Linked DNA regions of Arabidopsis thaliana. The protein of the gene in region 2 interacts with the protein of the main gene of each other region in a biochemical or structural test. Each region holds a gene or a part of one and is shown on either strand. Other genes may lie near its edges.

Region 1 (3,755 bases), on a different chromosome or scaffold from region 2:
CGATAATCCTGTGTAAGTTCAAATAGCAGTAGTACTGCTGTAAGAGGAACTTGACAAACCCCCGCAAGTGTAGCAGCCATTCCAACCTGTTAAACAATGAGACAAACAGGATCATTGGCAATGAAGCTACAAAAAAACTAGCATCCATTCTCAGTTAACCCGAAAAAATATTCTGTTCAAAGTATTGATAGGTAACCAATCAAGAAAGTCTGAAATTAAGACAATTTTGAAACATTGACCACATAAGAACAGTACCAGACCATAAGCTTGTGGAGATGCCACTTCCAAGATAGAGAGATTGAAATCAGGGTTCTGAGCCAAAGCAAGTCCAATAAACTTTCCATAGGCCATTCCTGCTGCCCCGCCAATAAAGAGAGAAGGAGCATAGTATCCACCGACAAGTCCAGAAGCCCGACACCATGCGGTTGCAGCTATCTTGACCGCTACCAGCTGAAGCAAAAGATCAGCTGAAAGACCCTTCACAAATGGACGTTTCTCCAACAAAATATCCACATTCTGAAAACCCCAGTATAATACTTCAGGGTATACCAAAGCTATGATACCAACACTTAATCCACCCATTACAGGAAATACAGCCTTTGGTATCCCAGCATCCTTGTTAAGACTGTCAACAGCAGATGTCATGGATGATGTACATCGAGATAATGCCAACGAGACCAAGCCACACAGAGCGCCCAATAAAAGATAGAGTGGAAGTTCTGAAAATCAGTGACCAGCTCTCATAAGTTTGGTTTCTGGTTCCCTTGCGTAAAAAGCATAAGAATGGCAATGCATATTACCTCCAGGAGAGCGGAAGTCATAGTCAGGAACCTTAAACGCAGGTTCAGAGCCGAGACCGATTTCGGAAACCACAGAAGCAGTAACAGCACTAAGAATAACCATAGAAGTTGTGTTTGGAAGTGAAGTTGATGAATCAGTTGATGAAGAAGGCCACAAAACGGATTCAACTGCAAAGAAGCATCCAGCCACAGCTGCATTGAACCCTGTAACAACATATAACAAAGTCCTCTTAACGAATCAATCAAGAGTTCCATACGCAAGAGAGAACAACATTAGCAAATATCAGATGAACAAACCAGAGGAAATGCCAGCAGCTGAGCCAGCGGCAAGAAGTGAGAAGCCAGTCTGAGGACTTTTATTGAACAGAGAATTCACACCTTTAGCGATTGACGCTCCAATTTCAACACTTGGACCTTCCGGCCCCAGCGAATTTCCAGTCCCAAGCGTCACACATGCGGCAACAGTCTTAAGGAAAGGACGCAACACTGCCTTTACGCGATCGAGACTAGAATGAGAATCTCCAGTAGATTTTCCAGCAGATTCTCGAAGCTGATTGAGGATGCTCACCACCAAACCGCCGATAGTCGGAACAAGGATAACACGCAACCAATTGGAACCGATCGGTGCCTCTCTAAGCCACGAAGCTCCACGATCAGGAATCCCATCCCAGGAAAAGTCTCGAAGCAAGTGAACACAGTTGTTGAATAGAACCACACTAACTCCAGTGAGAACACCAACCAAACAAGCCGACGCTATCGCAAGCTCCTGAGACGGCTGCTGATCAAATCCAACCTCATCCTGATCAGTCTCCTGCTTCGCCGCCGGTAAACGCGGGAAAATTCTACCGCCAATAGCGACGGAACCGAAAAACGGTGAAAGGACGACATTGAACTGAAAAGGAACGTCGGTTTTGTGAATTGGAGCGAATCTCCGGGAAGAGACGGGAGATCGGAGGGCAGCACAGAGTGGAAGCGTGGCTGCCATGAACGGCTGCTTCCGTGAAGTGACGCGTGTTTATCCATTAACGGATAATTTGATCTTAAATCACAAATCTTACGTGGCTGATCTTATTATTCAAACGCATGGGCTTGGGCCTTGAGGTAAACAGGTTTATATGGGCCAATAACAATAAATTTGATTAAAAATAAAAGGCCTCTTAGCTTTAGGTTCAAACTTCAATGGAGAAGCAGTGGCTGTTGTCCCTCGCAGTTGATCTTCTTCTCAATCCAAAATCCAGCTGATAAATAAATAATTTTTCTCTTGTCGTCATATTAAAAAAAAGAAAGATTATCTGTATTTCAAGTTTCATGAGCGTTTGCCACCACAACATTGTCTTTTCGGGTTAATTTCTTCTTCTTCTTCCTTTTCTTACTAAATTCTCTTAGGTAGTTGTCGATTCGATTTCTTTGTCTTCCTCTTCGCTTATTTTCGTTGAATCTCTTGTTTACACCTTTTCCTGAAAACAAAATTGTGTTTTTTGTAGGGTTTTAGTCATACTTAATGGCTTCCAATTCGGAGAAAAATCCTCTTCTTTCAGGTGATTATTTTCTTCTCAGTATACAATCTGATCTGCGATAATGAATCGTTTCTAGTCAGATTTGGTTATTGGTTCATTGTAATTTGTTTACTGTAGATGAGAAACCCAAATCGACGGAGGAGAATAAGAGTTCTAAGCCGGAATCAGCTTCTGGGAGTTCAACTTCATCAGCTATGCCTGGCTTGAATTTCAATGCTTTTGATTTCTCTAATATGGCTAGTATTCTCAACGTAAGTTACCTTTGCTGTTAGCACAATTGAAAAGTTATCTTCTTTGAGTTTTTTTTTAATTGATAATGGTTTTTTTTGTAGGATCCTAGCATCAGAGAAATGGCTGAGCAAATAGCTAAAGATCCTGCGTTTAACCAATTGGCTGAGCAGCTTCAGAGATCTATTCCTAACGCTGGCCAGGAAGGTGGTTTCCCTAACTTTGATCCTCAACAGTATGTCAATACAATGCAACAGGTTATGCATAACCCTGAGTTTAAGACAATGGCCGAGAAACTTGGTACCGCCTTAGTTCAGGTTAGGAATTGATGACTTTTTCCATCTAATCGAGGTGTGGCTTTGAATGAAGCTCTGTGTCTTATCTGATTTTATTTATTTTTTTTGCCTACAGGATCCACAAATGTCTCCTTTTTTGGATGCTTTCTCGAATCCTGAAACAGCAGAACACTTTACTGAGCGTATGGCGCGGATGAAAGAAGATCCAGAGTTGAAACCTATACTAGATGAGATTGATGCTGGTGGTCCTTCTGCCATGATGAAGTGAGTGATACAAACTTCTTTCAATGTTTTTTAGAGAAACTGTAGAGTTTGTTTCTGTTTATGAAGGAAGAATTATTTATTCTGTTTTAGGTACTGGAATGATCCAGAAGTGCTGAAAAAGCTGGGTGAAGCAATGGGTATGCCTGTTGCTGGCTTACCAGACCAGACTGTTTCAGCTGAACCTGAGGTAGCAGAAGAAGGTGAAGAAGAAGAGTCTATTGTTCACCAAACTGCCAGTCTTGGTGATGTTGAGGTTAGACTGCTTCCTACGTTAATATGCTTGACCATGTGAGATTTATCTTGCGTGTTGCTTGAGGAATTAGATGTTCCAAGTTTTGTTTTGTTGAACTCGTTATTGGATTTTTATTCGTTGATTCATTAGGGTTTGAAAGCTGCCTTGGCATCTGGTGGTAACAAAGATGAAGAAGATTCTGAAGGAAGGACAGCATTGCATTTTGCTTGTGGATACGGCGAGGTATGCAATTCTCTTATCAATTCACGGCAATTAAATATTCGGATTTAGATGGTTCTCTTTTTTTCAGTAGCTGTGAAGTTAAGAATCTTTATAATCATTCAATTGGTAGAAAAGTAACCAGTCTACTTACGTCTACGAGTTTCATGACACAATTACTTATAGCAAGTTCAAATAT
Region 2 (3,200 bases):
AAGCAAATCATTCGATTACTTTTGGAACTTTGTGATTTTATCAACGACAAAAGAAAGTACAAAGATTATTGAGCAAATAGACAATTAGACATATACGTAAAAGACAATCATAAGTAGCTCTCACTCGTGAATCTTTTGACTAACTGTAATTTTTTTGGTGGTATATAACTTCATGTTGGTACGAGTCCACATTCCACAATACAATAAAAATAAAAGTAAAAAACAAATTGCAAATGCAAATTGCTTATGAAATAAATACGAAGCTGACATTATTAGTACATAGACTACCAAAAAATTCTAAGAAACAGAAAGGTCGACACGATAGGAGGGTCGGTGAATCTAATCAGGTTCGCATTAATGCTTTAATTAGGCGATTCCCGATACGTAGTCTCACGTTACAATTAGTACTAAAATAAACGTAAACCGAACTTAATCTCCTCATTATGTGCCATGTTTTAAATCATTTGTTTTGCGGTTATTACGCTTACTTTTTTCTACATCTTTATTTTATAAAATAGATCATGAAATAGCATGATGAAGGGAGGTTTATAGGTCCCTCGCCTCGTTTTACTCTATGAGCCCATCTTATCTTTAATCATATTCCATAGTCCATACCATAGCACATACAGTAGTTATATGCTGCAGAAGAGATCCAACAAAACATTCACAATGGATTATAGAAACATTTGTTTATTCATTATAATGAGATCTTACATTCATTTAATATTAGAAAAAGCCACAAATTCATAACACAACAAGCCAAGAAAAAAACACAAACTTAAGCACACAAGCTTTTTATTTGACACACCAAATATTTCATCTTCATCTTCATATTCAATTAGCCCCGGAGATATCGATGGACTTGACTTGAGGCTTCTTCTCAGGCGCTTTCGGAACCACAACCGTAAGCACACCATTCTCCATTGTTGCCTTCACTTCTTCCATCTTTGCATTCTCCGGTAACCTAAACCTTCTCATAAACTTCCCACTAGCTCTCTCCACACGGTGCCACTTATCGTTCTTCTCTTCGTTCTCCTTGCTCCTCTCTCCGCTAATCTGCAGAACGTTCTTGTCTTCAACCTCAACCTTGACTTCTTCCTTCTTCAGGCCTGGCAAGTCCGCTTTGAACACATGTGCCTCCGGCGTTTCCTTCCAATCCACTCTTGCGTTTGTAAACGCTGCCACATCACGAGCGGTTGAAGCGTTTGCCAACGCAGAAGATGGCGTGAAGAATCCTTCGAATGGATCCCATAAGTCTTGCGAGAACGGATCAAAGACGTTTGATCTGCGTCCTCCAAAAATGCTTGGAATGAGAGACATTGTTCGTTGCTTTTCGGGAGACTTTTGGTTCTTGATTTTCCTGCTGATTTGATCTGATTAGCAAAGGACATATTTATAGGGAAGTTAGAGGATGAAGAGAGAATGTTCTTCGAGTTTCTTGAATAGAATAGAAAATGCTCCTTTTTCTAAAACCTTCGCTTGGAGTCTTTAGAACACATACACAATGATCACTGTGGTGAAATGACCAGATTTTTCTTGGCATTTCAGGAAGTTTCGTTTGTTGAAACAAGACCGAAATGCAATCCTTGGTTACAATTAAAACTACGTGCCGTTTTGCTTTGTTGTTGTATTATCCTCTTCGAGATACGGGCTCAGTGAAGCGGATCTTCTTTGCAAAAGCCCATTTCTTAATAGGTCGGAAGTGGAATTTAAGAAAATCTAACTCAGAGAAAAGAGGACAAAATCAAGATTTAAGATTATTAGCTTTTCGCCAAAGGAAAACTATAGTAAGTTCTCGCAATAACAGTTGGCACTAAATTTCCGAGAATGTCAACAATCTTTTAATGGATTTTTTTGTCTCCATATATACAAGAACTGAGCCACGTTTTTGTGACAAACATAGACAACATATTTACTAAACAAGTAAACTAAAAAAAAAAAAAATCTAAATGATTCGATTCAAGTATCAGTTACTGTGATCAAAATCTCAACTTATTTATTGCCTGTTCATGTCATGCTTGAACCAGAAGAAATGACCATGGAAAGTAATTGTGATTACCTTTTTGGGAAACTTGGGGTTAAAAATTGAAAATGTGATATGTCATGGTTTTGGTTTCTAATCAATAGAACTTGCATGAAAGAAAGAAAGAAAGAGAAATGAAGAGAAAAGCTTTACATTGTAAAGATGCTACTAATTGAACAAACCTACTTGTCGTCAAAGCTGCAGCAAGCTTGGTCTCTTTTCCATAAGCTCGTACTTGATAACAAAATGTTCCTGCGATAACCATCACCAGCAAAATTCACTCATAACACTGCAAATTCGAGAACAAGGAAATAGATATTCCTGCAATAATCGTCGGCTTACCTTTCTCACTGTTTTGAACGAATTTGGATCAAGGTATTCGTATGTTCCTCTTTCATATGTAGCTGCCCTGACTAAAGGTTCCCCGACTCTGAAGAACCATACTCTGAGTTCCTTGTGGTAAAACCAACCTCTTTCGTAACTGCAACATGTCAATCGAACTCAAAAGTCTCAGCCAAAGAGAGCGGAGTAAACGAATAGATCAAAGATTACAGTAGAGAAAAAACATACAGTTCATCTGCTGCGTACAGCTGTGCTTCATCTTTTGGCATACTGGAACAATAATTAGAGCAAAGTAATAAGTTTAAAAGCCCAAGGTTAATTTAGGAGTTGGGCAAATGTGACGCTGAATGCTGATCTAATAACAGACCTGTAAAATGTGTAGAACAATAACTCGTAGGAGAACCTTTTGAAACTAGCTCGCTGCAACAAACGGAAATAATGACACATTTGTTAACAAAATCGAGAAAATACTTTGTTGGTACTACTCGCAACAACAGAGGGAACTTACAGTTAGAGGCGGAGGTTCTGTGGCGTAGTAACAATTTGGTACTGTGAACTCGACCTCGCTCTTTGCCGGTTCATTTGTCCAAGGAGACGCAAATGTCTTGTAGAGATTTCCAGTTGAATTCAAATCCAATCCTAGCGTCGTCAAGTCGATGCCAAGAGCAAGTGAGGTCAATTCAGGGTTGCTCCTGTTTAGTACGTCTAACAAGCCAAGCAAGCAAAAAGGATCTGCCTCTGACTGTGTCGATTTCATCTCAGAATCTCTAAATTGGTTGATTGATGACATCTGTTGCACAGGGAACTGGGATTGATTTTGATGTTGCTGATACTG

Evidence for each region.
Region 1: the proteins of HSP18.2 (region 2) and AKR2 form a complex in vitro, tested with the Arabidopsis thaliana proteins (one study listed by BioGRID).

Annotation. Positions count from the first base shown.
Region 1 is NC_003075.7:16,837,561-16,841,315, forward strand, and holds the start of AKR2 (ankyrin repeat-containing protein 2), read left to right. Parts: upstream 1-1,971; 5' UTR 1,972-2,186; exon of another isoform or gene 2,187-2,284; 5' UTR 2,285-2,301; coding exon 2,302-2,338; intron 2,339-2,367; exon of another isoform or gene 2,368-2,434; coding exon 2,435-2,568; intron 2,569-2,649; coding exon 2,650-2,862; intron 2,863-2,956; coding exon 2,957-3,105; intron 3,106-3,171; coding exon 3,172-3,358; intron 3,359-3,487; coding exon 3,488-3,580; intron 3,581-3,755. Other genes in the region: CLC-E (chloride channel E), read right to left, coding at 1-86, 256-719, 801-1,004, 1,098-1,785. UniProt on the Arabidopsis thaliana protein: Exhibits chaperone activity toward chloroplast outer envelope membrane, mitochondrion outer membrane, endoplasmic reticulum membrane and peroxisomal proteins, by recruiting specific proteins containing a single transmembrane associated with an AKR2A-binding sequence (ABS) and subsequently binding glycolipids (e.g. monogalactosyldiacylglycerol (MGDG) and phosphatidylglycerol (PG)) present in the membrane of the target organelle.
Region 2 is NC_003076.8:24,060,752-24,063,951, reverse strand, and holds HSP18.2 (heat shock protein 18.2), read right to left. Parts: upstream 1,630-3,200; 5' UTR 1,321-1,629; coding exon 835-1,320; 3' UTR 652-834; downstream 1-651. Other genes in the region: VIP2 (VIRE2 interacting protein 2), read right to left, coding at 2,216-2,275, 2,366-2,504, 2,594-2,635, 2,733-2,785, 2,874-3,200.